Xenopus tropicalis: one gene and its partners. The protein of the gene in region 3 binds, or shares a complex with, the protein of the main gene of each other region. Links are inferred from orthologs where the notes say so. Each region holds a gene or a part of one and is shown on either strand. Other genes may lie near its edges. The genes, in order: efcab2, ccdc153 and tcte1.

What was found.
Region 1: tcte1 (region 3) and efcab2 share a complex: the UniProt entries of both Homo sapiens proteins name them as parts of the nexin-dynein regulatory complex. The link is inferred for Xenopus tropicalis from reciprocal best matches to the Homo sapiens genes DRC5 and DRC8.
Region 2: tcte1 (region 3) and ccdc153 share a complex: the UniProt entries of both Homo sapiens proteins name them as parts of the nexin-dynein regulatory complex. The link is inferred for Xenopus tropicalis from reciprocal best matches to the Homo sapiens genes DRC5 and DRC12.

What each region holds. Positions count from the first base shown.
Region 1 is NC_030681.2:51,983,818-51,994,603, reverse strand, and holds efcab2 (dynein regulatory complex protein 8), read left to right. Parts: upstream 1-5,081; 5' UTR 5,082-5,139; coding exon 5,140-5,164; intron 5,165-6,941; coding exon 6,942-7,026; intron 7,027-7,400; coding exon 7,401-7,473; intron 7,474-8,601; coding exon 8,602-8,681; intron 8,682-9,101; coding exon 9,102-9,144; intron 9,145-9,227; coding exon 9,228-9,294; intron 9,295-9,398; coding exon 9,399-9,514; 3' UTR 9,515-9,995; downstream 9,996-10,786. Other genes in the region: splicing factor YJU2, read right to left, coding at 1,309-1,443, 2,239-2,383, 2,497-2,597, 4,936-4,959. UniProt on the Homo sapiens protein: Component of the nexin-dynein regulatory complex (N-DRC), a key regulator of ciliary/flagellar motility which maintains the alignment and integrity of the distal axoneme and regulates microtubule sliding in motile axonemes.
Region 2 is NC_030683.2:80,330,248-80,340,933, forward strand, and holds part of ccdc153 (coiled-coil domain-containing protein 153), read left to right. Parts: intron 1-379; 5' UTR 380-381; coding exon 382-445; intron 446-556; coding exon 557-619; intron 620-4,656; coding exon 4,657-4,776; intron 4,777-5,076; coding exon 5,077-5,169; intron 5,170-6,005; coding exon 6,006-6,136; intron 6,137-10,275; coding exon 10,276-10,404; 3' UTR 10,405-10,686. UniProt on the Homo sapiens protein: Component of the nexin-dynein regulatory complex (N-DRC), a key regulator of ciliary/flagellar motility which maintains the alignment and integrity of the distal axoneme and regulates microtubule sliding in motile axonemes.
Region 3 is NC_030681.2:2,401,014-2,411,799, reverse strand, and holds the start of tcte1 (dynein regulatory complex subunit 5), read left to right. Parts: upstream 1-4,580; 5' UTR 4,581-4,668; exon of another isoform or gene 4,669-4,697; intron 4,698-6,553; 5' UTR 6,554-6,603; coding exon 6,604-6,787; intron 6,788-10,017; coding exon 10,018-10,592; intron 10,593-10,786. Other genes in the region: mad2l1bp (MAD2L1-binding protein), read left to right, coding at 1-40, 1,117-1,629. UniProt on the Homo sapiens protein: Component of the nexin-dynein regulatory complex (N-DRC) a key regulator of ciliary/flagellar motility which maintains the alignment and integrity of the distal axoneme and regulates microtubule sliding in motile axonemes.

The DNA of each region.
Region 1 (10,786 bases), about 50 Mb from region 3:
TTAACTGGTGAACATTCACCATGCTACAGTTCAGGTTAGGGCGAAGAGACATGGGGCAATTAGTCGCCGCGACTGACTTTCAAACTATAGAGTACAATTGCGTTGCCGCAACACGTCTCCCCCACCCAAATGGCTTCATTTGTACTGCATATATCCCCTCCCTTTGCTTGCACCATCACATTTTCCTAAACTAAATAACAGCTTTCACCTGGTGGCCATTTTTCCTCTGATACATATTTAGATACATTTAAATCTGCAAACAGCATACACACACACAGACCCTTAATCAGCATACATTTAATCAAGAATACAGGCTCACACAGGCACACAACTGTCTCTGATAAAAGTTCTGCTTTGTTTGAGCTGAGCTCAGGAGAGTTGGTTGGGAGAAAATATTGAAGCAGACAGCTAGAGCTGAGTTTCTATGGGAACCAGCAATGCCATCTCTTCACTGGCTGCTAGACTGGGGGGCGTGTTTAGTAATCTGAGCTTAGAACAACTGAGCATGCCCACAAGCCAACAGCCAAAGCAAATTCCTAAGGGAGGGGGCCGAGTGAGAAGGAGAAGCAAATCTGTGTGTGATTAAGGGGATGTTGCAGCCTTACTATTAAAGGAGAAGGAAAGGCCAAGTCACTTGGGGGTGCTAAAATGTTAAGCACCCCCAAGTAACTTTAATCGCTTACCTTGTACCCCGGGCTGGTGCCCCTGTTAAGAGAAAACAGCACCAGCCCGCGGTACCTGTAGCGAGCTCTTCCTCCTCCCGGCTTCATTTCGATGAGACTAACACAATAGGCGCATGCGCAGTAGAGTGAAAAGCCAACGTCTCTGTTAAAGTTCGGCTTTTCACTCTACTGCGCAAGCGCGGGCAAGCGATACAGGAAGGAGGAAACGCTGCAGGTACCTCGGGCTGGTGCTGTTCTCTCTGAACAGGGGCACCAGCCCGGGGTACAAGGTAGGCGATTCAAGTCACTTGGGGGTGCCTAACATTTTGGCACCACTAAGTGACTTTGCCTTTCCTTCTCCTTTAACCTCTGGACAACCAGTGTGGTAGGTATTGAAAGATTTCAAAGAGGCTGTTCACTGTTTACATTTTTGTGTGTGGGGTTTACATGTCCTTTAAAAAACAAAGAATGTGAAGAACCACAACTAACAGGAGCATAAAAACATAAAAGAGGGGGATTGGGAACACCAGAAGCAGAAGAGTGAACCACGGTACCAGAGAAAACAGTATAACTTGCCAGAATATATATAAATGAGAAAAACAATATTTTATTAACCCATTCTCCTTCCAAAAAGAGTGGTAGTTACCTTCATAGGGTTATTGAGCTCTTCTTCTTCACGTTCTTTTTGAAACCTCTTTTCTTCCTCCTCTATCAATTTTTCTGCTTGAAAGTTGCGAGTTGCTCCATGTTCCATTGCATAATCTGTGTTTTCAGGGTCTGTCTGTGTGGAAAAAACTAAATGTTATAGGATAAAAAAAAACAACCAAAAAGATAATACATGCAGTAAACATAATAATGGTGTAACACATTTATTGACATGTCCATACAGGGAAATACAGGGAGATGTATTCACCCAAATATGGCAATGCCACTTCCCATATAGTTCAAACAACACTGACTTTATTGTAAACAAAGCTAGTATAAATCCAGACTAATGTGTTTGTCAGTAGCTAAGGGTAATTGCACAAGATGTGCAGAATTTTTGTCACCTCGGTGAATGAGGGGGATGACACAACACTGCATAGCTCACACCCATTCAAGTGAATGTAAAATGCCACATTTGCAGCTTGTTCTGCTTATGATCAGGCGTGGATTGGTTATATTTTCATTGTATTCAACATGCTAAATTATTTTACAAAACACACATTTCAGTAGGTCATGGCCATTTATAAGGATATTTTGTACAGGAGATTAACGGCCCTTGTGTATTATTATAAATAAATATATATGTGTGTGTGTCCATAGTCAGTCTAGCCTTGGGTACACGGTCAATATGTAATATAAAGCTTTCAGAAGGACCAGAACTCCATTCTTGAATTATACTGTTTTATTTAACACCACTTTGAATCCAACGTTTTGGCCCACATTAGAGCCTTTATCAAGCATGCTTCTATCGTACTACTTTAGGATCCTTGATAAAAGTCCATATACACAGTGATGTTAAAACTTTATAATTCATTAACTGGAGTGCTGGTCCTTCAAAAATATCCTCCAAATATAAGGTTTACTTTATTACCTTAAAAGTGATCTCAGCTAGGCAACGTGTACACTTAATATAGAAACGGAAAATAGGGAGCCCCAGATACAGTTCATTTTGCACAGTTTCTTTTCTAGCATTGAACTTCTTCCCCTTGTAAATATACTCTCCACAAGTCTTACACCTGCAAAGACATTGACGAAGAAATAAAATTACTTACTCTGGACAATTCGATGAAAAACAGTATAAAAAATATTTCAGTGGGTTACTCCTTAAACACCACTCACATGCACTCACCTCATATTAAATGGTGCCATCAGACGAACCACATACTGGCGATCTTTTGGAAGCTTTAACTTTGGGATTTTAGATGGATCAAAATCTGGAGGGTAATATTTCTAAAACAGATAAAAAGTTAAAATGAAATCATTTTATAACAATAAGAGCAAATAATTTATAATTATTTATAACAGTAAACAATTTATAGGCTCGATAAATGAATGATTGGTTGCCTTAGAAGATAACCTGAAAAATATATATGATATCACCATATATGGAAGGATGCAGAGCTCTGACAGCCTCCCTATGGTAAACATTGTGGACGTTGGGGGAAAAACAATGCCAAAGACTGCAAATGCTTTACACAGCATACAAGTAAGTCCTTGGAATATTAAGTACGTTCAAATACAGCTGATGTACTGCATGCATATATCGACCACTAGTACTATGTTTCCAGAAAAAAATGTCAATATATTTCAGTGAAATAAAATCAAACGCTTTGATTAAAAGCTTATTATAAAATAGTTAACTGGAAAATATGTATAAACTTAAATTTATTATTTGTAAAAGAAAAATGCACGAACGGTCCATAATGGAGAAGGACCTCAGAGTCTTTGTAGATAATAAACTTGGCTGTAGCAAGCAATGCCAGGCAGCAGCTGCAAGGTTTTGAGCTGTATCAAAAGGTGCATAGCTTCACGGGAGGAGGGGGTTATTCTTCCCCTTTACAGAGCGCTGGTAAGGCCCCATCTAGAATATGCTGTTCAATTTTGGTCTCCAGTGCTCAAACGGGGCATTATTGAATTAGAGAGGGTCCAGAGAAGGGCAGCTTAGATTGTTAAGCGTATGGAAAGTCTCAGTTATGAAGAAAGACTAGCAAAGTTCGGTCTGTTTACACTGGAGATGAGGCACAGAGGTGACATGATAACTATGTATAAATATATAAGGGGATCATATAATAACCTCTCTAAAGCTTTATTTACCAGTAGGTCCTTCTAACTGACACAAGGGCACCCACTCCATTTAGAAGAAAGGAGGTTCTGTTTAAATATTCGGAAAGGATTTTTTTACTGTGAGAGCTGTGAAGTTGTGGAATTCCATACTTGAACCACTCCTACTGGCTGATACATTAGTTATCTTCAAGAAGGGGTTGGATGGCTTTTTAGCAAGTGAGGGAATACAGGGTTATGGGAGATAGCTCTTAGTACAAGTTGATCCAGGGACTGGTCCGATTGCCATCTTGGAGTCAGGAAAGAATTTTTCCCCCTCTGCAGCAAATTAGAGAGGCTTCAGATGGGGTTTTGTGCCTTCCACTGGATCAACTAGCAGTTATGCAAGTTATATATAAGCATTACGTTTAACTTGGTGGCCATATGTCCTTTTTCAACCTAACTTACTATGTTATTATGTGTCATCTATATCAGTGGTACCTAAACTGACCAAGTGGCTAGGGGGACCAAGTCTGCAAGCCAGTTAGTGTAAGACCTAAGATCTAAGGGTAAGGCCTAGATCTTCCTCAGTTAAGTGACAATTTATTTCCTGGATACTCATGGCTGATACAGCAGTGTCTTCATATATCTGTACATATATAGGTGTCATTACATATAGCAAGAAATGTAAGAATTCATAAGCTGGGCTTTTAATTACAGTTTACATCTTCATAACATAGACATCAAAGTACCTTCAGCATGTTTTTTAACGTGACCCTGACAACTGATATTAGTAGTACGCACTATAAACTGACTATATTCTGTGTTAACCAGTTTCCAGTGCCATCGCTGTTAGCTCTAGGCCCATATCATACAAACCATTTTGCTACACAGGGGACATGCTGATTTAGCTGCCCCATGTGTAATCCGCCTGTTACTGCACACTAGCCAGATTTTGCCAGAGAACGTTTATTATGATTATAATAGTTATGCATTTTAGCTGAACTCTGCACGTATGTGGAATGACCAAGCTTTTTAAACAAGATGCTTCTGGCATAGGAAGCAAGATTTGTCTTGCTTTAAATGTACAATATAATAATTGAATTTCATACTGGTGACCTTGCAGCCTACCCCTGAAGCTGACAGAGTGGAATGCTGGAACTACTGACCCAGCAGAGTTGTCTTCACTTCAGCCTTTACTACTTTGATAACTTCTCTTAGTATTAATTATATAACATGTAACATATGTAATATCCCTCATACGTAATAAAAGTTACAAGTATGCCAGGGTGAAGAAAGCCATATTTTGCGTTAAAAAAAAGTGACCAGCAAATGCTACTTGCTGATTGGTTGCATTAGGTAACAAGTCATGTACAGAATTTTGCACCTTTTATAACACAATCCTCAGAGTTTTTACTGACGCACCACGTCTTTATTAGTGAGTGCTGTTTACATATCTTCAACCGGTCTATCCCTTAACCAAGCGCCTCCTGTCCCTTTCCCCAAGTCCCTTCTTACTATTACGTACATTTAAGACTTTCCGCTCAGACATTGTTACTCTTCACTCCTCTGTAGCTGTATTTTCCAAATGGCGCAGATCAATGACGTCACGCTCCAGCCGCTCGCAGGAACAAGCAGCTAGGAAGTGTTTTATATTCACGCACGTCATCTCAGCGCCACCAGGTGGTCAAATGACTTGGGTTGTGCAGTCACCTAGCAACCAGATACAAAAATGACTGATGAGAAGGAGGCCGCTGGTAAGTTAATGCTCCATAACAAAATGTAAAAAACAGATAAAAATAGCGAGACGAGGAGAGGGAAGGAGAAGGGGAAATTAACAGAGACTTGGTCTGAACCCTGTTAGAAAATCAATAGAAACGAGTAAAGTACATTCTACAAATAATCGCCTGTTCATCTTTATGGGTGACTAAAATACTGGGTGCATTTTAGATAGAGTATCAATTAACCTATTGGTACAATTTGGAATAGAATTTTAGTATTGATATACTGCAGGCAGCAGAATGTGCTATAATCCTAGGCAGGGCTGCCATCAGAACTCACAGGCCCCATACAACACAATTAGCAGGATCTGTTGTCCAGCCAGTGGGCATCTAAGCTTTTGTTCGATCAGTACATCAGACCTAGTGAAGTGAAGGGGGGGAATCAAAGGCAAGGGATTATATTTATGTTAAACAAAAAAAAAACCTGTATGGATTTTTTTAATAAATTTATATTAAAAAATATTGTCTTTTTCATAAAGAACCTGGCACCATAAGGGCTCTTAGATTTTTCACTTTACTTCCCCTTAAAAAATGTACTGCAATTCCCATTCTCTGATAACGTAAGGGGGCCGTGCAGGTGTAGGTATGTAGGTGTGTACCTAAGGATATCCTAAAATTGTACTGATCACACCAGTCACATCCCTGTTACTAGGATTGGCTTCTGTGCAAGATAGTTATAATCAAAACTTTGGAATTTAGCACCCATTACTATTATACCTCATCTCAATACTGTTGGCTAAAAACAAACCCTGAAATGTAAGCAAGAGACAATGAGCTACTATAAGTTGCTGTAATGAAGTAAGTTATTCTGATCAGTGCAAGATATAGGAAAACTGTAAAAGTAATAAATGCAAAAAAAAGCACCAAATTACATTTTTAATGTGTGTTAAAAAAGCTAGTAGCTTATGTTCTGTTTTCTATCCATTATAGTCAGTGCCAAAGCCAATTAATCCATTTCCTTAATTCAAGCGTTTAGGTTATGGTGTGAACAGACATACTGTATATGAGCAACAGAGAATACCACCGTACAGGGCAGCCTTGAGGGCAAATAGTTGTCCTGGTGTTTTTTATGGTCATAGGAGCGCAGGCCACGCTGCACTTGGATTACCAGGGCCCCCTGCAGTCAGTGACCAGCAGCCTTCAGAACACAGGACTAGCGCTCCAGTGCCAGCTTCTTATTATCTCATACAGCTTTCTGTAAGCTCATTTGCCAATAAAGTTTAAGTCCCGGAAAAGGTGCATGGTGATTGAATGGGCTGGAAGGGACCCATCCAATCCCCATGCAGAATTACCAGGATTTAGAGTTCTGTGGTAAATGAGCAGTAAAGGAGATACAGGCACCCAGGTTCCTGTCCTTTGCTACCCGATTCTGCAGCTCTCACAGCAGCACGGCCGGGCCCCCCTTAAACCTCAAAACCCACCGGGCCCAGGACTGTCCTCCCTGGCGGCGGCCCTGGTTCTAAGGCTGTTTCAGCGCAATCTGAGAATAGGCAATGCACCACCATTCTCTTTCTGAACCTGTGTGTGCACTGACAGGCATGTGACATATAAATATATGTATTTTCATGCCAAAATCTTTGTGTGTGCTAAAGAGGTGATCCGTTGCACTTGAAGTGGTGACAGATGGTTCTCCACACAGATGGAGCTCAAATAGTCATATTAGTAATGGAAACAGTGTATAACTGTAAAGCATGTCACTATGCCTGCTAATCCATTAATGCATCTAATTATTTTCTTACACATATTTTTTCAGAATCTCTAGTGACAGATTTACAGAAAAAAATTACAGAAGCCTTTGAGGTTTTTGACCATGAATGTAACAAAACTGTTGATGTCAGGTAAACATAACATTTTCCCTGTAGTTTTTTTTTGTAGAATGCTGGGTAAACAGGAGAAAGACAGCTGTACAAGCTTTCAGTTCCTAAAGCTGCCATTTTTATTATTTAATGCAATCTCAAAAGTGTGTGTGCTTTGGTAATCATTTTCTTTGTATTGTGTAAAAAAAAACAACACACTAAACAAGCAAAACCTTACTTTGTCAAGAGTTCTCATTAAAAAAAGTATACAATATGCACATTATTTATTTTATTTATTATTTTTTAAAGCTATTAGACTAATTAAGATTTTTTTTACATTAACAGGATATAAAAGCTAACCCTAACCCTGTTTTATTTTAAAGTTTCATGCATTAACTGTGCTACTTTTGTAACAGAGAGATTGGAACAATCATAAGGTCTTTAGAATGTTGCCCAACAGAAGGCGAACTCCATGATATGATTGCAGAGGTAAGGTTTTAAAAACAAGTTAAAGAGTACAGAACTATATGCACTTATTGTGCCCATATCAATAAAAACTGAAAAATTGCAGCTGTAAAAGTAAAAATATTTTTATATTTATTCTGACCTATTATTGCCTAAGAAGAGATAAAACCTTTGTATGTCTTATCTTGCTGTGTAAAATAACTCCCACGTTTAAGATGTAGCTGAGAAAGTTTTTGCCTGTTAAAGGCAACAAGAATTCTGCGAGTCTTTGTTAGCATGTTCAGCCAATAGAGGGCACTGTTTTATTAAAGTCTGTTTCTAAAATGTTACATTTTCTAAACAAAAAATAGTATGGCAACTCTGAGCAACTATAAATGAACATCAATATATAGACACATTAGGCATCCTATACAAAATATACCAGTTTTCATTAACATTTAAAGGAGAAGGAAAGGTAAAAACTAAGTAAGCTTTATCAGAAAGCTCTATGTTAATACAGCCATAAGCACTCACAGAAACACTGCACTGAGTCCTCATCAAAAGAAACACATGATTTATTGTCTCCTTTTTTGTAAACATGGTCTAAGAGTGTATGACTTCCTCTCTCAGAAAAATCCTTCATTCCAGGGGCCAGAGTCTGCACAGTTCTCTCCTCTCTCCTGCTCTCCCCTCCCATAAGAATTCATGAAACTGACTCCCCCCACCCTTAGGAATGTGTAATCTGAGCTATAGCGGCTAAACTGCAAGCAGGAAGCTATGAAGACCAAGCTAAAATGGCAGCTGCTGTCTTAAACAAACAGAGAAAGCTTCTAGGGCTCTTTACTCAGTTATGGTAATGCTTTCTGCAGAATAAATATAGCATTCTAGGTGGCACTAATGTGGCGAATCTATTGGCAGTAAAATGCCAAACTGACTTTCCTTCTCCTTTAAATGTAAAGTTTTTTCTTAACTAAATACTCTGCATCACATTATTTGCTAAAAATATAGCCATGTGTTTTGTGATTTTGAACGCAATAAACCTTGCTGTCCCATGGAATGTAATTATGACAGGAAATATTTTTTTTAAATAAAATTGATTTATTATTTTTACATTTCTTAATCTCTTTTTTCAAATATGGTTTATTATTTACATTTATATTCCTTGCCTTTTAGGTAGAAGAAGAAGAACCTACAGGGTACATTCGTTTTGAAAAATTCCTCCCCATGATGACTAAGGCATTAATGGAGAGAAGGTATACATTTCATTAGGTGCTTTCATGTGCTTTACACCAGCTTTATGGTGGCATTAGGTAAAGGGTGTCTTGGCACAGCCATTAGCCTAATGTCTTCGTATTTGCAGACCCAAAACAATACTTCAGTTATGACAAGGGTGCAATCCTCTGATGAATATATTATATATGTGGGGGAATGGTTGGATGCATACTGTATGTTTTAGATTCAGTTAGAACTGCACTGGACTGTAATCCTGGGCCCCCTCCCCACAGGAGCTGCTGTGTATGGTTTTTACACTCCTCTCTAGAGTTTATTTTTCTGCTGATTTATATAAAGATACCTGCCAAACTGATTAAGATGTAGAAAGAAAAACTTGTTTTTTAATTGTTGTACATGATGCAAATTTAGGTCTTTCTATAATTTTCCTTTGTGGTTTGCAGGTATAGACCCATTCCTGAAGATATTCTTCTCCGAGCCTTTGAGGTTGGTGTTTTATTGTTATGTTTTAATAGGCAATAAAGAGTGTTACCAGGCAGAGCTAATCAGCTCTATTTACTAATTTCCAGGTTTTAGATGAAAAGAAAAAGGGATACCTCACTAGAGAAGAACTTGTCAAATATATGACTGAAGAAGGTACAGTTATACACAAAGTGTTTATTTTGAGACAGTGCTAATCTAGAAATAAATATTTTTGAATCATGAAACACTTGCACAGACTGTGTGTCTTATTGTCTCAGGTGAACCATTCACACAAGAGGAGATGGAAGAGATGGTGTCAGCTGCAGTGGATCCAGAGAAGAATGTTGTTCCATACAGAGAGTATGCTGCAATGATGACCATTGATGATTATTGATAATAAGTCAGTTTAAAAAAAACAGGAGGCATTTTAAAACACGTACATAGTACAATTATATATAAAGTGGTGTTTTTTAGACTTGAAGACTTTAAATTCCCACTTGAAGACTTTGAATTCCCACAGACTGCCCAGTTTTTTCAGTGGCCATGCACAGGCAGATCTAAGCTGCCAAATTGGCCCCTTTAGACCAATTCAGCAGCTTATCTGCCTGTATATAGGGCCTCAAGGTTGAAAGATCTTCACGTGTATGGCCAGCTTTACATAGTGCACCCTAATGAGCCTTTGGCAATCAATACCAAAAACAGGACCAGAAACATGTATCTATTTTTTCAAGTTAGAAGGTTATATTTGAGACAGTGGTTCACTGAACAGGCATTCACATATATAAAAAATGAACATAGACATAAACATAAATATTTTTTTGTAATATAAATGTTTTTAACAAATAAGGTTTATAATAAAACAAATGATTATCAGATGATACTCTAGCCAATTTTTTGTTAAATATAAGTGCCCAAGAGCATTTCAATGCATTTCATGCTATTGAAGTGCATGCTAATAATGTCTAAATGTATACATTGCATATATATATATATATATATATATATATATATATATATTTGCATATTTAAAAGGTATACTCTCATGGGAAAACACACGGACTATGCCTCATTGTGTCAAAACCCATGATCCACCCAAACCCTGTCCCCTTGCTACCACAAATAACACCTCTGTGTTTCTTGGGACCCCCTTTGCCACTGACCTTTGAATGAAGTACCCACCTCTGATTTCAGACCTGCTCCTAAATTAAATTTAATTTCACAGCGAGTGGAAGAGAGAACTTTAGCTCCAAACACATTATATACAGAAACCAGTAATGGGTCCTGACCTTGAGACCGCCCCCTTACTCTTTTAAAAAGCAGGTTACCTGAAGGCTGGAAAATGTTACAGTATCCTTCAGGTCAGCTCAGAAATTGTCTGCATTGCTAAATATTATGGGTACTATAATAGGATTAAGCAGGATAAAAAAACAAGTGTCCCATTTTTAGGGCTCTGGCACACGGGGAGATTAGTCGCCCGTGACAAATCTCCCTGTTCGCGGGCAACTAATCTCCCCGGATTGCCATCCCACCGGGGAAAATGTAAGTGGCTGGTGGGATGACACACGCTGCGCAGGCGATTTGTCGCGGGTGACTAATCTCCCCGTGTGCCAGAGCCCTTAGAGGGCTTGTCCTAAGTTGGCCCCTGTCCCTTCAAAAAGATTAGGTA
Region 2 (10,686 bases), on a different chromosome or scaffold from region 3:
ATTCATAGGTGTATAGTTATGTTAGGTGGGGTCCTTCCCTACTAGTCTCACTAGTGTTCCTGTGCTAAGGGTAAGAGAACATGGTTTTACAATAAAATAAGGCAGTGAAGAACTCACATATAATGAGGGGCCTTAGTGTGACAAGTAAACTTAAATATTTTGGGGGATGTGTGGTGCTAATTTTTCAATATTAATTTAATATTTTACATAGGCCATAATTTGTGCATTGGCAATTATTAGTATGTATTAGTTTGCAGGATTGAAATTCCACATGAACCTTTCAAGGGGCACATGGTAGTTTTTTTCTCCAAAATTATTTTCTTCTTGTGCCTTTGCATCTTTCAATCCTATGACTCAGACTATTATATCTCTTTTATAGATATGCCACCAAAGCAGAAGGGAAAATCTCAAAAGAAAAAGGGGAAGAAAACAAAGAATGGAACAAGTAAGAGAAATGAGACTCTCTTCATCGTAGATTTATAAGTATTTGTAGTTCAGTTCTTATGTCTTTTTTTTGGATTTATGCCATAATTCTAATGGATTTTTCCCCCCTCAGGCTCAGTAGACGACCAGTACCGCAAGGCAACGTTGGAAGTTGAAGTTTTACAGAATCACTTGGGTAACAACAAGGAGATAGATTCTGGCCCAAATGAGCTAAGCCTCAGGAGTGAAACAAAATAGGCTAGCAAGGGGTATATTTTTACAAAGGGTAAAAATAGTTTGCCACATTTCACACTCTCACATGTATAGGAGCTTTTTCTAAGGCATGTTTGTCAAGGCTTGACACTAAGAAGTTTATTTTTTCATAAACACTCCCCCCATATATCATTGCAAGTGAATACAGAGCTGTGAAATTTCTCTCTGGTGAACTTCACCCTAGCACTCTCTAAAAGTTTGCCATTACAATGAGGCCGCTTATTCTACATTTACTCATATAATACATAATTATAAAAGTATAAAGCAAATATAAAATAATTCACATATTTAGAATGCACACAACTTATTTTGATCACCAGAACACCGTAGTCAGGATGATAGCATATTTAAAAAGCTTTGCTGTTGTCATTACATGTAAATTAGCATCATACATCGTGACTCGGGATCATCCATTACATAAAGTTATAAAGGTAGGGCTGCCATCGGGGAAATATAGAGGGAACTTTGGTCAGGGGCCCCTAGTTACACAAAGTTATGAATTATCATTTAAAAGTCAATGGGGCACATTCAGGTAGAAGCTGTTGTTTTAAGTTTACAAAATAAACCCAGCCACAAAAGTGTATTGAATAATTTTAGGAAAAGAACAAATCAGGCCATTAACAAGGCCCCAACAGTAAGCAAACAAAGAAAACAAGTTTTTCATGTGCTAGTATAAAGTTATCTAACTTTTTGTGGTGGTGGCACAGGAAAATAAATTGATTCATTTCAGGGCACTGAACTACGATACCTGATGAGGGAAGGTTAAAATACCACTCCAATAGACTGTATTTGCCTGCACTTCCTGGCATATATATTGGATAGCTAACTTTTTAATGTTTGCCTTACTTTATTTTTTGTCATATCATTTTTTTTTTATTTATTTATTTATTTATTTTTAAAGGTTGGTTTTTATTGATTTTTAACAACAATAGAATAGGATAGAAAGAAGAGGGGAGGAAAGGAAAGAAAAAAAGAAGTTGGAGAGTAAACATTCATTATATTGTTGTGGCTGGTGAGTCTGTCCAAGTAGACCAAATGTTTTAAAATTCTGTCGGGCATCTTCTGGTGAGATAGGTAAGTTTGTACAGTTCCACTTGTGAATTGAAGTTAATCCAATTGCGGAGTGATCGGAGTGATGGGGGTGATGGGCCCATCCAGTGCAGAGCAATGTTTTTTTTGGCATAAAAAAGTAGTAGTCTCATTAGTAATTTTGTATTCCTTCTGGGTATCAGAGTGTCTAGGAGACCCAATATACAGGTAGCCGAAGTCCAGTTCTGTTCCCATGAATTCTGTAACCTTGCACCAAAATTTTTGTATTTCAGGGCATTCCCATATTAGGTGCATAAAGTTGCCCATATATCGGTTTTCCCCATGTTATATAACTTTTGTGGGGTGAGGTAGGTCTAATGTATAATTTTAAATTGTATTAACTTGTCTCTTGTGCTTATTAGGGACTGGTACAAGTTATCTGTGACTTCTTCCCAGTCATCGGGATTTAATTGTATCCCAGAGGTCTCCCACTTAAGCTTCACCCTAGGCCGTGGGTCATACCTGTTAGTAATTAAGAGCTTGTAAGTGTTTGAAAGCAGTTTAGATTTGCTGGGTTGAGCTGTCAAGTGTTCTAGATCTAGGTACTGTATATGTGGCGGTTGTTGAAAATGTACTCCACAAAGACGCGTAATCTGACAGGCCGGGTTGGGAGGAAAATTTGTTGTAACAGAGGTAGTGTATGCAGTTCACCGTTTGAGTAAAGGTGGTCAATACGCTTTACCCCTAACCTGGCCCAGGATCCTGCTTCTGGGAAAGATGCAAAGTGCGGTAGGTTGCTTTTCCCCCATAATGGGGTATCAGGGGATATTGCCCCTGTTTTATTCGTTAACTGTGTCATGGTCGTGGCATCTAAGACTGGTAGTAGTGGACTAATGTCCTTCCTTGTTCTATATTGAGCATTGTGTAGGTTTTTTACTGAGGGGATGTAAAGGGCTTCTAGAAATGAGGCTGAGTTCTCAGGGTCAAACAATTTCCAATTTGCAATGTGAGTGCTTTGAGAGGCTAGGTAGTAAAGCTCATAGTTGGGAGATGCTAGTCCTAATTGGTCTTGTGGGGCATTTAGGGTGCTCCTAGGGAGTGTTGGAGATTTGTTTCCCCAAATAAATGTGGTTTGAGTACGGTCTATTTCTAATAGGGTTTTTTTTGGTATGTGACATGGGGTATTACTAAATTGGTAAAGGATTTAGGTAGAAAAATCATTTTGCATATATTTATTCTACCTATTAATGTAAGCGCCAGTTTTGTCCAGTGCCTGATTGTGTCTATAAATTTATTCTGGAGTGGGTGTATAAGGAATTCTGCTGGTTCTTTGTGGATTGTTATCCCCAGATATTTGAAACTATTGGCTACTTTGAGGGTGCATTCGGGGTCTGTCATTAGTGGAATTTGATCGTCTAGGGGGAAAATTATAGATTTTTCCCAGTTAATCTGTAGGCCAGAGAATGTGCCGAAGGATTTGATTATGTCTAGAACTGTTTTAAATGAGTCATGGGGGTCTGCAAGGTATAGCAGTGTGTCATCGGCATATAGAGAGATTTTCTCCTCAGCTGTCTTGCATATAAATCCTTCAATTTGTTGGGAGTGTCTAATTTTGATCGCCATGGGCTCAATCACTAGGGCTAACAATAGTGGGGAGAGGGGGCATCCTTGGCAGCTGCCTCGGGTGAGATTGAATGGGGTAGATAGGATTCCTTTAACTTTGACGGCTGCTTTGGGTTCACTATATAAGTTTAAGCCACTTGACAAAGGAGGGGCCAAATCCCATTCTAGTAACTACCTCCCAGAGAAAGGGCCATTCAATGGAGTCAAATGCTTTGGCTGTATCAAGAGATACTATTATTCTAGAGCCTGTGTTTTCATGCGGTATTTATCATATCATTTTTTAAAGATGTTTTTCATTGCTTTTAATACCAAATGTTAACAAGAAAGAAACAAACAAGATATACATATAAAAGAAAAGAGTAGGTGGGTAAGCTTAATACATCGCCTTTATGTTTATGTATAGAGTTGTCACTAGGGTTACATAGAAAAGAGTGGCATTGCTGCAATATACAGTACTAAACAGTGGTTTTAATGAGAGATGTCCTCAAAGTCCAAAGTGTCCAACCAGCATTGCCAGACCCTGACAGATTTTTCAGGTATACCCCTTTGGTTATATACCAAATGTCCCAACTTGAGGTGTTCTCACAAAAGACCTTTCATACATACCAGTAGTAGGGGAGACCCCAAGGAGCCATTTTTTTGTCATATATAATTCAGAAATATGTAAGGTGGACATAGGTATAAAAAAAACAATGTAGAAAAGTCAGTATTTAATTAAGTAAAATAAATTAGACCAGTGCTTCTCAAACTGTGGGGCCATATTTACTTACAGGGCTTACTTGCAATTTTGGTGAGACCCAAGTGGACCTCTGACATATAGGAATAATTACAGATTATAGTGAATTTCATCTTTTCAGCAGTGGCATATTCAGAACACAATATCTTTGGGAACTCAATTTCGCTACATTTTCAGGGCTAAAGGAGCCCCCAGAAAAACTCTAAAAGTAAATCACATAAACATATGTAAAACATTGTTTCTTAAAACTAAAACCTTTTCATAAAAAAATATACTTTTCTAATAGCATGTGCCATTGGATAATCCCAATTTTAAAAACTGCCATTTTAAGAACTAAGCTCCACCCTCTGGTTCATATGAGGCACTGTGCTGATACACAAACCAAGGGTATGCAGATGTTATATCAGCCACTGAATGAACAGAACTGTGTGTTTTACTCTGTGAGGAAGCAACAAAGACCATCACAAAATGGCGGCTCAGGGGGAAATATATAAAAAAAGCAGTATTTACTGTTGTACATGCAACCTTGGTAAGATTCGTTAAATACTTCATATGACTCTCCTTTCTGACAGCGCTGCGCAGGCAAGTAACACGGCGAACTCAGGAACACAAAGAGGAGCTGCATGCAAAACTGCAAGAGCTGCAGGGAGACCTGGAAGAGGAGAAAAGTGAAAAACAAGCTATATACAGTGGTAAGGAAAGGATCTTCCTTTTTGGTATCAAAGGATAGAATTTCAAATTGACAAGATATAGGCTCAAATTAAACAAGGCCATATGGTGACTAATCAGCTAACTAATAAATCGCTCACATTAGGACGTTTCATAAAACAGTATTAGTAGTTATTACCCACCCAGAAATGGCTGGGTTTCAGTGGATGTAAATTAAAATATTACAATGAAAATTGTAATTTTGGGTCAAGATTGTGCTCTACATAACAGGTTTAATTTTTCCTTTAGTACTGACTGGCTTCATTTTTCTCTGTCACCCTTAGAAATGACACGTCAGCAGCAGGCTTTGGAACAGCAGAGCTCAGCATCTATCCAGGCCCTGAAACAGGAGGTTGCGGAACTGAGGTTACAACTTGGTGAGAATGGAGCGTAGTACTAGACGGCATAAAATGTAGACACACTTATAGAGACATGAAATCTATCCAGAATGCATGGAATCTGGTGTTTTCCAGATCTTCTTTCATTTGGCTCACCGTAGTTAAGTTACATAGTAACAGTAGCATAGTAGTTGAGGTTGAAAAAGTCCATAAGGAAAAATCTGCATTCATTACTTTACGCAGTGTGCAAATGCAATTTCAGGGGCAATTACCATGTTTTTTTCCACAATGCATTTTTTTTCCAGAATTCTGGTGTCATTGTAATGCGGGTGATTTTGTTGGCGCAATTGCGCTCACCTACTGCAGTCGCATCCAATTTGCCAAAATGGATGAAACTGTGTCTTCAGCTTGTTGCAAATTGGGAGCAGTTGCACTGAATATTTTCAAAGTCTGTCTGGTGTAATTTCTAGCATTTGTTGGCATCGTTTTTGGTGTTCAGCGTGCGAATGTCGTGCAATAAGTGCAGCAGAGCCCGATTTGAAACGGAAAGCAGGAAGGACTGAGTGCAACTAGAGGGTAGTGTGAAGAGTGCATTATGACGCAGTTAAATTTAATGAAAGCGGTTCTAAGTCCAAGTAGTTTAAGTGCAAGTTGTCTATTGCGCTTGCAGCTGTAAATGAGCCCTCAGGTATCCCATTCATTACAATTTAATCTCATTTATATCTGCAAATTCCAAATAGGTGTTAAGGCACAAGAAAAGTCGCAACCACTTTGTGTATACAGTTGAACCTGCAATAGTAAATAGCTCTGTCCTCAATTTGCATACTTTACAATGCAAGCCCAATAATGTGTAATTGTGTATGCATCACACTTAGGTGAGTCTCAGCAAGAGCTAAAGGAAGTCCGTGAAGAATTGGAGCACACAAAATCCGAGAAAGAGGATCAAATTATACACCTGCGTAGAGAGGTGGAAAACATGGAGTCAGAATATGAGAATTTGTTGCATGTAAGTTAAATTTATTTGAGCTACGGCAGGAGCGTCACTGCATGTCATTTGGGTGTCAGTTTTTTTTTAATTTTTTTTAAAGCTTTTCTTTTTGCATAGTTTTCAATACAAGGAATACAATTAACAAAAGGGAAGAATGGAAAGGAAAGCAAAGTGAGGCAAAGGCCCCAAATCAAAAAGTGTGTAAATAGGTATATTATACATTCAGATATTTTGCTGTTCAAAGCAGGTTCCCCATATAGCATTGAATTTCTCTGGACGTCTTGCTAAATAATCAGTTTTTGGCTTGGAAGGGAATCATCTACCATCTTTTGACAAACTGAAGAGAAGGGGGATCTAAGAATTTCCAATGCATAAGAATGGCTTTTTTAGCATAGTAAAGCAGTTGTAAGTAGCATGCTCTGGAGTGGGACCAGATGTGTATATCACCTATTACTCCTAGTCAGCATAGGAGTGAATGGATGTTTGGAAAGCCAAGCTTCTCATTGAGAAATGTTAGCACCTCACCCCAGAATCTCTGGATAGCCTGACAAGACCAGAAGCCATGAAACATGGTGCCTATGCCATCGGTGCATTTGGGGCATTGATCAGACACATTATTATAAATTTTTGCCAGACGGTGGGTTGTTGAGTACACTCTGTTTAAAACTTAATCTGTATGTATCTATCCCTCTTTGAGATGGATAAATAAGGAACAAGCTTGAGGGCATCAGACCACATCTCATCCTCTAGCGTGGGTATGTCCCTTTGCCATTTAGTCTATTTTTTTGAAGGGGAGAGGGACCTATTAAAGAAGGTATAATGTAGAACCAGGAGAGGTCTTGTCTATGAAGGTAAGTCTCAAGGGTTTTTTCGGATAACCTTATGGGTCTGGATGGGAATTGTATATTAAAAGCATGCCTAAGTTGCAAGTACCTGAAAAGCATGTCTGGTGTGGATCTCATGCTTTAATAGGTCATAATTCTTGCAGTCGTCCTCTGTAACAATATCCCCTAGAACTCATCTAGCAATATCCTGAAGTGCGTGGAAGTGGGGCAGGTAAATGTTACCCTATATTGGGGTCCTGGGAGTTAGGTGTCAGTTTTAATAGGAAAACTATAAACAGTAATTCTTTTCAGAAAATTCCCTACTTCTCCCCTCTTGCATTTTCCAGTGGTGTAGCTACAAGTACTCTACTGCACCCAGACCCATTGGCTTATGGGAGCCACATTAGAAGAAACCAATAAAACTTCCACTACAGGAAAAAAAACATAGTAGTATGAAGAATCCTTCATGCAGGGGTCAAACAATATAGGTGGACATTGAGGGTGAGGTGTGGAAACTGGTTCTTATTAGAGGCATAGATGTTTGGAGTGGTAAAGTAGATGCCCTAACTGATTTTAGTATCAGAAACATGCCTTTACCTTCCCCTCTTTTCATTCCACTCTCCGTGTTTTCCATTGTTCAAATTTCCACCATTCTCCTTTTTCCATTGTGTTTTCCTTTAACATTCAGATTTTCTCTTCCCCAACCTTGTTTTTGGGTTTTTCTTTTTTTTTGGTCTCCTCTTTTCTGCTTTCCGATCTGCTGCGCTCTTCTACTTAACACTGTTTTGGTGTCTTTTTTTAATTAATATCTACTTTTTCTACTGTTTTGTGTTTATTCTGTTTTTTCCCCTCCCTTTCATCTTTTGGCCAGTGCTGCATATCAGTATTTAATTGATGACTTCAACATAACTCTTGGTGTCAGGCAAAACACAATATTCACAGTGTTATTGGGATCAGCTGTCCACCCCGCTAGTTCCTAATAGCTGAACACTAAGCTTCCTCTGCAAGTAGTATGTAGTTCTTCCCTGGAGAACTCTATCTCAGATCCACAGTCTGGTGGCTCTGCTTAAAGGAAAAATAAAGTCAAAGTCACTTGGGGGTGCCAAAATGTTAGGCACCCCCAAGTGACTTTGACCGCCTACTTTTTACCCCGGGCTGGTGCCCCTGTGAGGAAGGAACAGCACCAGCCCGGGGTAGCTGCCGGCGCTTCCTTTTCCTGATTCGCTGCGCGCGCATGCGCAGTAGAGTGAAAAGCCGAACTTAAATGTTAAAGTCGGCTTTTCACTCTACTGCGCATGCGCCCACCGCTGGCACTCAGGAAAAGGAAGCGAGGAAGACGGAAGCGCTGCGCTCCAGGTGCCCCGGGCTGGTGCTGTTTTCTCCTAACAGGGGCACCAGCCCGGGGTACGAGGTAAGCGGTTAAAGTCACTTGGGGGTGCCTAACATTTTGGCACCCCCAAGTGACTTTGACTTTCGTTTCCCTTTAAGGAATGCTCTTTATAGAATAAAAACTTGTTGATTTGTTTGCAGTAAATGAAATGTGGAAAAATAAAGCAGATTTGTCCTGTTGGACATGAGTGATTAGGGTGCAATTAGTGGAACATGGGTACTAGACTTGGGCCTCTTGTTTTGTTTTGTTATCCTCCCACCCACTTCCAAACCATACCCTTAGGGGCAGATTTACTAATCCACGAATGGTCCGAAGGCGTCCAAATGCATTTTTTTGTAATGATTGGTATTTTTGCGACTTTTTCGTATGTTCCGCAGCTTTTTCGGCGTTGTCGCGAAAATTCGTATTGGTTTTTCCGCCATCCACTCAATACGAAAAAATAGCGATGGCGACGAATTAGTCATGCAAAATACGATAAAGTCGCAGCGGCAACGAAAAATACGAAAAAGTTGCGCCGGCGACGAAAAGGCGGCGAAATTTTTGTTTACAATCCGAATTTTTGCCATTCGGGATTCGAATTCGTGCTTTGGTAAATCTGCCCCTTAGTCTTAACCCCTTTCTTAATTCCTACATTTAAATTGTGTGTTGCTGTGGCTAGTTTCTTGTTAAGTATATCTTGCTTAGTATATTTATGTGAGGCTAAAGGCTTATGGATCTCTCAGACAACTCACAAATGTTATAAAATAGATTCAGTAATAAGCAGTGTGTATGCCAACATTAGCATCTTTTGAATGGCTTCCTCATCTGTTTAATAAGTACCAGAAAGTTGCCTACCATAATACCATAAAGTTGTACACAGTATATACAAATATAAATTTCACGATACATGGCAGATTAGTAATCTATTCAGATTTACATTACATGGAAGCTCTGAAACTAGTGCAATTAGCATCATCTTATATTACAGACAATCCTAATTTTCTGCTTGATAATTTGCAGTGACCCCTAAGCTTAGTTTCTTAACAGCTGCTCAGAGTGCACTGAGCATGTGAGTGTCGCAGACACTTTCCAAGATGGGGACATCCTGTGACAACTGGATCATTGCTGCTATTGAGATTCTGAATCTTTAGACTGGTGCAGTAAATTCAGTATATAAAATATAGCATTTTAAGCCACATTCATTTGCAGGGTTTAGTTTTCCTTTAATTAGCTGAAAGGCAGCAGGATGGACATACCTCACATTAATGCTAATTATATCTGTCAGTTATTACATTGTGTCATAATAGAAGTAATTACATGACACAGGTTTCCCTCTGTGTAGTTTGTGCACTAAACTGCTAAAGTACTCAGTAAACCAGTGTTTTGTCATATCTTGGGAGCCTCTGACTTGAGAATTAATCTAAGTTCTAATCTGTGTGTGTTTCTTATTTTTTGTACATCTTTCTTCCTGAGTTTCATACTATTGTGTCTTTTCATATTTTGTTTCTGCTTTCTTCATGCTCATTACACTTGAGGTTTATCCGTATCAATCCACAACTGTTTTTTTGGCTAAGTTTTAGATCTATAAACCTTTTCCAAACATTCTGCATCCTTTATGTAAATTTGACTTTTTCTCCTGCCTTTAATATTCCTTCTATGACTTTCAATGCATACTTCCTTAATCTGTGCTGTGTTTTATCAAAGTATGGGTTTAGGGGCTTATATTGATTATTTGTGACTAAATACAGTGTCTTCGTTTTTCAAAATATAGAATTTTACCTATTACAACATTGGGCCAAAAATTCACAATAATCACTCTTTTTGTATATGTGTATTTGTGTGTGCAGAAATGCTGGACACAACAGTACCGCTACCACTATTATTATTAGTACTAGTGGTAGTATTTATTAACCTTAGAATATCTGAAGTATTTCCCCAGCTCACTTTTCTCCTTTCTGTCCTAGTCCTGCCTGGATCATCTTCTATCAAAGCTCAATGTGGCAGAACTCCAGTGGAAAGATCAGGCCTTGTCTATCCATCAACAACACAAACAGATGTTACAGGACTATGGATTGAACCCTCTGGACTTCTGACTAGTGATCTATAACACAATAGATATTGTGCAGTCGCGCATATGTAGATGTGCAGTTTACAGAATGGTGCAATTGGTTCAGAATACACTATAGTTAGGGGTAGTTACCCATGGAGCAATGAGGTTGGCCAAAGTAGTCTTTGTCTTTGGTAGTGGTTTGTTCTTACCTGCAAATGTCCATAAAATGGAGTCTACTTTGTGAGAGCATGGGTGGGTCCCCCATAGCTGAACTACAAGTGAAGAGATCCTTCAACTACAACAAATCTACCAGTATGACTGTAAG
Region 3 (10,786 bases):
CCCGTATGAGCAGCTGCTGGGGTTCAGCGGGAAAGCGCAGGTAATCATTGGCTCAGGCCTTAGTGCATAGGCCGCTGGCTCAGGTTGGGCGGCTGTGTGTGACCTCACTTAGCCATAACTGATTGGTCTTTTATCCAATGGAGCATTTAAAGGGGATATAAACCCAACCATAACGCTGCCCCACGGCGCCCCCTAGTGTTGCTATAGAAGTTGCCAAAAAACGTAATTCTAGATGCAAGGAAATTCCCCAATGAGCCTTCTACTGAGCAACATGTGATTATAAGTGCAAGAGAAGTGACCAATGAGAATGCTGATTCCCTGTGTCCGGCCCCTTGCTGGTACCTTACATATAGAGATAATGATGGCATTTTCCCGTCATTATATGGCACAGGAATCAGACATGGGGATAAAGGGACAGACTTGTTCAGTGCTGGGAAACTGTGCTTATTGCTCCCAACTCCAATTGCAGGAACAGAGAACAGGGAGCCGGATTTACTCACATCAGCTGGGATTCTCATTGGGGGATTTCTTGCATTTTAATGGGGGAAAGTTTTATTGGGCAGTATTGCTTTAAGAATACAACCCTGATGTTGCTGGACTACAGCTCCCAGCATGCCTCACCCTTCATTATATGTTACATTATTCTGGGATTTGTAGTCCGGCAACAGCTGAGTAACGTTGGGTTGAGCCGCGCTGTGCCGCAGGGTTTAGCTTCCCTTTATTGTTCCAATGTAAATATCAGCAGTAAGTAGAGCGACAGATCATTGCGGTCGCTGTATATAGTGGTACTGTGTAACTGGGTCAGCCCCTTGACTGAGCAGAACCAATATGTGTTCAGTCTCTGTGTCTGTCTCTGTGTCTTTGCCCAGCTCAGCAGATAACATGGGCACGCTTGGCACAGTCACTGGCAGCATAAATGAGTGCACTGGGGCCCTCGGTTGTTGAACTGCAAGTAGCAGCACCCGTGTAGCAGCACCCGTGTAGCAGCACCCGTGTAGCAGCACCCGTGTAGCAGCACCCGTGTAGCAGCACCCGTGTAGCAGCACCCGTGTAGCAGCACCCGTGTTAGTTCGGCGGTTCCAGTTGTAGTTTAGCTCTGTGTTTATCTCTCCCCAGGGAAGTGAAGATGCTGCCAAGAAACGCTCTTGGACCGAGGAGCTGGGGAACCGCCAGTGCAAACAGACTCTGTCGGACCTGGAGGAGCTACTGGGTCAGCTTGAAACTCTGTTCGCCATCACCCCTGTACCCCGCGTTCTGCTGCTGCTGGGGGGGAACCCCGTGAATCCCAAAGAGCTGTACGATATCGACATGGCGGGGGTGAGCGTGGGTAACGGGGAGCAGAGCCTGGGTACCCGGCCGTGTCTGCGCCAGCTGTTCCATGCCCTGTTCCTGGCCGACCCATTCAGCGACCTGCGCGCTACGTCTGTACTGAGTCTGGTGGTGATGGTGCAGGGGCAGCGCCAGTGCGGCACAGACTGGTTCAAGCCCAAGCTGAATTATAAGGTGCCCAGCAGGGGCCACACCCTGACTGTCAGACTGGCATGTACGGACTCTCCGGCCCCGGAACCCACCAGCGGGGATTATATCTGGTTCCAGGCTCCCGTTACAGTCAAGGGCTTTCAGAACTGAACGTCTGGGTTTTTATCTTTGGACCAAGTGTTGCGGTTCTGGCAGGAAAATGGTGCTGCTGTAGGCGAAACCTTGTATTCTGTGAGGAACCTGTGTGCGGGTGGGGGTACCCCTGCTGCTGCATAGGGTTAGTAATGGGGCAGATAGGGGACAGGAAGTGCCCCCCGGGGGTAGGTGCAATACAGGGGGCCCCAGAGTATGGGCTGCCATTCTGCCAGGGCACATCCTGTGTCTGTATCACTGCCTGAAACTCAGCCCCCCCCACCCCAAGGAGAGGCACAACTATAACTCCCTGTATGGCAATAGCCTGAAACTTTCCCTCTGTACAACGAAGCTCGAGCCCCCCCACCCCAAGCCTAAGGAGAGGCACAACTATAACTCTCTGTATGGCAATAGGGTGAAACTTTCCTTCTGTACAAGGAAGCTCGAGCCCCCCCACCCCAAGCCTAAGGAGAGGCACAACTATAACTCTCTGTATGGCAATAGGGTGAAACTTTCCCTCTGTACAAGGAAGCTCGAGCCCCCCCACCCCAAGCCTAAGGAGAGGCACAACTATAACTCCCTGTATGGCAATAGCCTGAAACTTTCCCTCTGTACAAGGAAGCTCGAGCCCCCCCACCCCAAGGAGAGGCACAACTATAACTCCCTGTATGGCAATAGGGTGAAACTTTCCCTCTGTACAAGGAAGCTCGAGCCCCCCCACCCCAAGGAGAGGCACAACTATAACTCCCTGTATGGCAATAGGGTGAAACTTTCCCTCTGTACAAGGAAGCTCGAGCCCCCCCACCCCAAGCCTAAGGAGAGGCACAACTATAACTCTCTGTATGGCAATAGCCTGAAACTTTCCCTCTGTACAAGGAAGCTCGAGCCCCCCCACCCCAAGCCTAAGGAGAGGCACAACTATAACTCTCTCTGTATGGCAATAGCCTGAAACTTTCCCTCTGTACAAGGAAGCTCGAGCCCCCCCACCCCAAGCCTAAGGAGAGGCACAACTATAACTCTCTGTATGGCAATAGCCTGAAACTTTCCCTCTGTACAAGGAAGCTCGAGCCCCCCCACCCCAAGCCTAAGGAGAGGCACAACTATAACTCTCTCTGTATGGCAATAGCCTGAAACTTTCCCTCTGTACAAGGAAGCTCGAGCCCCCCCACCCCAAGCCTAAGGAGAGGCACAACTATAACTCTCTGTATGACAATAGCCTGAAACTTTCCCTCTGTACAAGGAAGCTCGAGCCCCCCCACCCCAAGCCTAAGGAGAGGCACAACTATAACTCTCTGTATGACAATAGCCTGAAACTTTATCCTGACTGGGTCGGCCTGACTCCTGAATGCATATGAACCCCAATAATCTCACTGCCCCCCAAAGGGGAGTAGTCGGGAATGGAGTAAATCCTGTGCCTTATACATAGATACCCCCAGGGTGCTGCTGCGGGGGTCACTATCTGACGTGCCGGGGGCAGCGCTGGGGTCACTAAGGCCTGAACCGCACAGGTTGCACTTTCTCTCCTTGGTTTTTAATGTAAAGTTTTTACTTTTTTTTATTATTATGAAACTAAAGAGAATCTATATTTTTATTAAAGTGACAGGTGCTAAACTTGCTAATATTTAGCAGCCCAAGGAATTTCCCAACATTCTGTCTGTCTGTCTGTCTGTCAGAGACGCACAGTTTAACCCTGTGTCTGTGTATAGAGGCTGCACTATTTCATTTTCTCTGTCTGACCTATGGCATTGGCTTCTTCTAGGAAACTACCTCCTCTGCACCCCCATACTTTGGGACCCACCCTCAAATAAAGGTTTTTATCCAAATCCTCCTGTTTTATGGTATCTCTCTGTACAGGCTATGAGCAAACTTAGGGGGCTGTTCCTGCTGAATTGTGCTTAGTACAGGGGAATCCCTATGTGCCATAGTTTTAGGGTATCTCTCTGTACAGGCTATGAGCAAACTTAGGGGGCTGTTCCTGCTGAATTGTGCTTAGTACAGGGGAATCCCTATGTGCCATAGTTTTATGGTATCTCTCTGTACAGGCTATGAGCAAACTTAGGGGGCTGTTCCTGCTGAATTGTGCTTAGTACAGGGGAATCCCTATGTGCCATAGTTTTATGGTATCTCTCTGTACAGGCTATGAGCAAACTTAGGGGGCTGTTCCTGCTGAATTGTGCTTAGTACAGGGGAATCCCTATGTGCCATAGTTTTATGGTATCTCTCTGTACAGGCTATGAGCAAACTTAGGGGGCTGTTCCTGCTGAATTGTGCTTAGTACAGGGGAATCCCTATGTGCCATAGTTTTATGGTATCTCTCTGTACAGGCTATGAGCAAACTTAGGGGGCTGTTCCTGCTGAATTGTGCTTAGTACAGGGGAATCCCTATGTGCCATAGTTTTATGGTATCTCTCTGTACAGGCTATGGGCAAACTTAGGGGGCTGTTCCTGCTGAATTGTGCTTAGTACAGGGGAATCCCTATGTGCCATAGTTTTATGGTATCTCTCTGTACAGGCTATGGGCAAACTTAGGGGGCTGTTCCTGCTGAATTGTGCTTAGTACAGGGGAATCCCTATGTGCCATAGTTTTACGGTATCTCTCTGTACAGGCTATGGGCAAACTTAGGGGTAACAATATGGCAGATTTTTTACAGATCTCTGCTGGGGGGGGGGGGGGGGGGGGGGGCGTTGCAGTTGGGGGTCAGTGTTAGGGAAGGGAGGGCAGAGAAGGCTCCGTATGGGAGAGGGGGCAGTTAAGAGGTTAAGGGAGGGGTGGGAAGAGATGGGTCAGTATTAGGGGGGCTAAAGTACCCGGACCTGCCAGACCTGGGGGGCCAGACAATAGCAACTTGCCCCAACCCCCGGTCCGACCCTTTTCAGCCCTCGGTGCCGGAACAGAGAGCGGCGAATGGGTTAAAGTGCGGATCATGTTACGCGGTACCCGCCAGGGGGCGCTCCGGGGCAGAATCCGTGCGGGGAAATAGCGCTGCCTGTGTTGCCATGGGAACGGTAAACTCCGGCCGGTAGCAGCCAGGGGAGAGCCGGTACCGCGGTGCTACAGTAAGTCTGTGCCTGGGGATTGGCTGTAGGTAGGTAGGTAGGGGTATGGGGGGCAGGGTAATACGGGAGCCCCCAGCCAAGCTCCCTTACCTCTCACATTGTATTATATGTTCAGCCCTAATGCCCTGTGTCTCACCCTCAGTGTGGGGCCCCTGCCGTAAAGCGAGTTGTTACCTACAAGGCATTCAGTGCAAAGAAATATTTATATGTGTATATGTTCTACTCACCCCAAATAAACACAAAGGCCCTTATAGTCTAACCCTTATAATAATAATAATAATAATAACCCTGTGGGTTCCGGGTATGTGGGCCCTAAGCGCCGGCCCTTACAGTCTAACCCTGTGGGTTCTGGGTATGTGGGCCCTAAGCACCGGCCCTTACAGTCTAACCTTGTGGGTTCTGGGTATGTGGGCCCTAAGCGCCGGCCCTTACAGTCTAACCCTGTGGGTTCCGGGTATGTGGGCCCTAAGCACCGGCCCTTACAGTCTAACCTTGTGGGTTCCCAGTGTGTGGGCCCTAAGCACCGGCCCTTACAGTCTAACCCTGTGGGTTCCGGGTATGTGGGCCCTAAGCACCGGCCCTTACAGTCTAACCCCGTGGGTTCCCAGTGTGTGGGCCCTAAGCACCGGCCCTTACAGTCTAACCCTGTGGGTTCCGGGTATGCGGGCCCTAAGCACCGGCCCTTACAGTCTAACCCTGTGGGTTCTGGGTGTGTGGGCCCTAAGCACCGGCCCTTACAGTCTAACCCTGTGGGTTCTGGGTGTGTGGGCCCTAAGCACCGGCCCTTACAGTCTAACCCTGTGGGTTCTGGGTTCTGGGTATGTGGGCCCTAAGCGCCGGCCCTTACAGTCTAACCCTGTGGGTTCCCAGTGTGTGGGCCCTAAGCACCGGCCCTTACAGTCTAACCCTGTGGGTTCCGGGTATGCGGGCCCTAAGCACCGGCCCTTACAGTCTAACCCTGTGGGTTCCGGGTATGTGGGCCCTAAGCACCGGCCCTTACAGTCTAACCCTGTGGGTTCCGGGTATGTGGGCCCTAAGCGCTGGCCCTTACAGTCTAACCCTGTGGGTTCCGGGTATGTGGGCCCTAAGCGCCGGCCCTTACAGTCTAACCCTGTGGGTTCCGGGTATGCGGGCCCTAAGCACCGGCCCTTACAGTCTAACCCTGTGGGTTCCCAGTGTGTGGGCCCTAAGCACCGGCCCTTACAGTCTAACCCTGTGGGTTCTGGGTGTGTGGGCCCTAAGCATCGGCCCTTACAGTCTAACCCTGTGGGTTCCGGGTATGCGGGCCCTAAGCGCCGGCCCTTACAGTCTAACCCTGTGGGTTCCGGGTATGTGGGCCCTAAGCGCCGGCCCTAACAGTCTAACCCTGTGGGTTCCGGGTATGCGGGCCCTAAGCGCCGGCCCTTACAGTCTAACCCTGTGGGTTCCGGGTATGTGGGCCCTAAGCGCCGGCCCTAACAGTCTAACCCTGTGGGTTCCGGGTATGCGGGCCCTAAGCGCCGGCCCTTACAGTCTAACCCTGTGGGTTCCGGGTGTGTGGGCCCTAAGCACCGGCCCTTACAGTCTAACCCTGTGGGTTCCGGGTATGCGGGCCCTAAGCGCCGGCCCTTACAGTCTAACCCTGTGGGTTCCCAGTGTGTGGGCCGTAAGCACTGGCCCTTACAGTCTAACCCTGTGGGTTCCGGGTATGTGGGCCCTAAGCACCGGCCCTTACAGTCTAACCCTGTGGGTTCCGGGTGTGTGGGCCCTAAGCGCCGGCCCTTACAGTCTAACCTTATGGGTTCCCAGTGTGTGGGCCCTAAGCACCGGCCCTTACAGTCTAACCCTGTGGGTTCCGGGTATGCGGGCCCTAAGCACCCTCTTATCTCTCTGTCCTAACTCACAGGGGTAAAAGCATATACAGTTCCACAACTCACTGCCCATTGGCTCAGCAAGATGATTGAGGCCCCTCCCAGTGTAAGAGGTTTGGTGCCGGCGCCGTTACCAGTGGGGCAAAGAAACCCGGCCGCCGACCCCAGAAGGATGCGCAGAATTATTGCAGAAGATCCAACATGGTCGTTGGCCATTGTCCCCCTGCTCAGCGACCTCTGCCTGCAGCACATCGTCACGAACTTTGCACGTAAGTGGCTCTAGGGCCCCGGGCAGATATGTGTGGGCAATGGGTGGGCAATGTGTAGACAATGGGTGGCCAATGTGTGGGCAATGGGTGGCCAATGTGTAGGCAATGGGTGGCCAATGGGTGGGCAAAGGGTGGGCGATGGGTTCCCAATGGGTGGGCTATGGGTGGGCAAAGGGTGGGCGATGGGTTCCCAATGGGTGGGCGATGGGTGGGCAAAGGGTGGGCGATGGGTTCACAATGGGTGGGCTATGGGTGGGCAATGGGTGGCCAAAGGGTTCCCAATGTGTAGGCAATGGGTGGGCAAAGGGTGGGCAATGGGTTCCCAATGTGTAGGCAATGGGTGGGCAAAGGGTGGGCAATGGGTGGCCAATGGGTGGGCAATGGGTGGCCAATGGGTGGGCAATGGGTTCCCAATGTGTAGGCAATGGGTGGGCAATGGGTTCCCAATGTGTAGGCAATGGGTGGGCAATGGGTGGGCACGGGCCCCTATTCCATTGGTACTTGGTGAATTTGCTTTTCCTCCCCCATCTTATACCAGGGACAGTCACTATTTATTGGGCTGGGGGGGCTGTTTGGGTACTGGAAATATTGGGGCCTATTTTGAGACCAAGTCCGGATCTGCCTGGGGCCCCAATGATACAGGAGTTGGTACCAGGTACTGACGGACCCGACCCAGTGCCCAGCCATGAGGCAGTTACATGGGATTCTCCCACAAGGTTCTGCACTTTTTCTTTAATTTCTCAATGACAGAGAATGAAGGGAATACTGGGGGGGGGGTTCTGTGCGAGTGATTAAATGCCCCCCCCCCGGGCTGTTTTCCATTTACGTCTCCATTTCCAGTCAGTTGTGACCTTTCTATCCCGACTCAGTCTCCTCTCTGGGCCTCAATTATTCATTATCTATTTATAATCCTCTCTCCCGGGGGGGGGGGGGGGGGGGGGGCGTGGGAAGGGGCGGAGCCCACAGGGGGCGCTCACACACACACACAGTTATTAGAAATAAAAGCCCCTCCCTGCTGCAGTGATGGTCTGACTAGTTATCCACTCCCAGTAAGAGGGGACGGCCTATCGTTATGGGCCTTACTCCGGCTCCCAGTAAGAGGGGACGGCCTATCGTTATGGGCCTTACTCCGGCTCCCAGTAAGAGGGGACGGCCTATCGTTATGGGCCTTACTCCGGCTCCCAGTAAGAGGTTATGGGCCTTACTCCGGCTCCCAGTAAGAGGGGACGGCCTATCGTTATGGGCCTTACTCCGGCTCCCAGTAAGAGGGGACGGCCTATCGTTATGGGCCTTACTCCGGCTCCCAGTAAGAGGGGACGGGCCTATCGTTATGGGCCTTACTCCGGCTCCCAGTAAGAGGGACGGCCTATCGTTATGGGCCTTACTCCGGCTCCCAGTAAGAGGGGACGGCCTATCGTTATGGGCCTTACTCCGGCTCCCAGTAAGAGGGGACGGCCTATCGTTATGGGCCTTACTCCGGCTCCCAGTAAGAGGGGACGGCCTATCGTTATGGTCCTTACTCCGGCTCCCAGTAACAGGGGACGGCCTATCGTTATGGGCCTTACTCCGGCTCCCAGTAAGAGGGACGGCCTATCGTTATGGTCCTTACTCCGGCTCCCAGTAAGAGGGGACGGCCTATCGTTATGGTCCTTACTCCGGCTCCCAGTAAGAGGGGACGGCCTATCGTTATGGGCCTTACTCCGGCTCCCAGTAAGAGGGGACGGCCTATCGTTATGGGCCTTACTCCGGCTCCCAGTAAGAGGGGAGGGCCTATCGTTATGGGCCTTACTCCGGCTCCCAGTAAGAGGGGACGGCCTATCGTTATGGGCCTTACTCCGGCTCCCAGTAAGAGGGGACGGCCTATCGTTATGGTCCTTACTCCGGCTCCCAGTAAGAGGGGACGGCCTATCGTTATGGTCCTTACTCCGGCTCCCAGTAAGAGGGGACGGCCTATCGTTATGGGCCTTACTCCGGCTCCCAGTAAGAGGGGACGGCCTATCGTTATGGGCCTTACTCCGGCTCCCAGTAAGAGGGGACGGCCTATCGTTATGGGCCTTACTCAGGCTCCCAGTAAGAGGGGACGGCCTATCGTTATGGGCCTTACTCCGGCTCCCAGTAAGAGGGGACGGCCTATAGTTATGGGCCTTACTCCGGCTCCCAGTAAGAGGGGAGGGCCTATAGTTATGGGCCTTACTCCGGCTCCCAGTAAGAGGGGAGGGCCTATCGTTATGGGCCTTACTCCGGCTCCCAGTAAGAGGGACGGCCTATCGTTATGGTCCTTACTCCGGCTCCCAGTAAGAGGGGACGGCCTATCGTTATGGGCCTTACTCCGGCTCCCAGTAAGAGGGGAGGGCCTATCGTTATGGGCCTTACTCCGGCTCCCAGTAAGAGGGGACGGCCTATCGTTATGGGCCTTACTCCGGCTCCCAGTAAGAGGGGACGGCCTATCGTTATGGTCCTTACTCCGGCTCCCAGTAAGAGGGGACGGCCTATCGTTATGGGCCTTACTCCGGCTCCCAGTAAGAGGGGAGGGCCTATCGTTATGGGCCTTACTCCGGCTCCCAGTAAGAGGGGAGGGCCTATCGTTATGGGCCTTACTCCGGCTCCCAGTAAGAGGGGACGGCCTATCGTTATGGTCCTTACTCCGGCTCCCAGTAAGAGGGGACGGCCTATCGTTATGGTCCTTACTCCGGCTCCCAGTAAGAGGGGACGGCCTATCGTTATGGGCCTTACTCCGGCTCCCAGTAAGAGGGGACGGCCTATCGTTATGGGCCTTACTCCGGCTCCCAGTAAGAGGGGACGGCCTATCGTTATGGGCCTTACTCAGGCTCCCAGTAAGAGGGGACGGCCTATCGTTATGGGCCTTACTCCGGCTCCCAGTAAGAGGGGACGGCCTATAGTTATGGGCCTTACTCCGGCTCCCAGTAAGAGGGGAGGGCCTATAGTTATGGGCCTTACTCCGGCTCCCAGTAAGAGGGGAGGGCCTATCGTTATGGGCCTTACTCCGGCTCCCAGTAAGAGGGGACGGCCTATCGTTATGGGCCTTACTCCGGCTCCCAGTAAGAGGGGTAAGAGGGGCCTAGAGGACAATGGCTGAGAGTGTAGGAGACATATGAGTAGAAGGGGTGGAGAGAGTAGATGGGGAGGAGCCATGGGATGCTTTAGCCACGCCCCCTTTCAGGTGAGTCCATAATAAAGGCATATAATTATTAATGACACTGTCTGTGCAGAGAGACCCACCCTGGAGCGACTGCTGCCGAAGCACCGAGTGAAGGTGTTGGAGCGCCTCTCCCCCTCGCTGCCCCTGCAGGTAACGGCCAATCTGATTGGCTATGAGCAGTACTGGAGGCGGTGCTGCACAGCCCGCTGGCCCGTGTGTGACATCTCCAGCTACGGGGGCAGTTGGAAGAGACTGTTCTTCGAGAGGAACCTGGAACATCTCATTGAGCGCTTCATTCCCGACGTGTCCGACACCGACCCGGTTCTGGAGGCCGCCGAGCTCAGCCGGGACTTTGTGAAGAAACTGGATATCAAGGAGCTTCTGCCCCCCGTCAAGCTGGAAACCAAGAAGGACGCGGAGGAAGACGAGCTTTCCGACACAGGGAGCGAGGCCGGCATAGACCTGCCATCCATGGACCACTTCGACTTGGGGCTCGTAGCCCCTCTCCTGCCCGGCTTGGAAGAGCTCCACCTGGTGTATGGAGTCAGGAACTGCGGCATGAACTTCGAGTGGAACCTGTTCCGCTTTACTGATCGGGACTGTAACTCGCTGGCCCAGGCGCTCCGGGTGTTCAGGAATCTAAAGGTAAAGCTGTGGGGCAAGTAATAGTGACAGGCACCCCTGCTGGGGTAGTTGGGAAGCTTGGGGGCACCATAAGGGTTTCATATAAGGAAAATAATAGGGATGGTGCACATTAAAGGGGTAGTTCACCCTAAATTAACGTTTAATATGATGTAGACATTGATATTCTGATGGTTTTTCAGTGGTTTAGCTTTTTC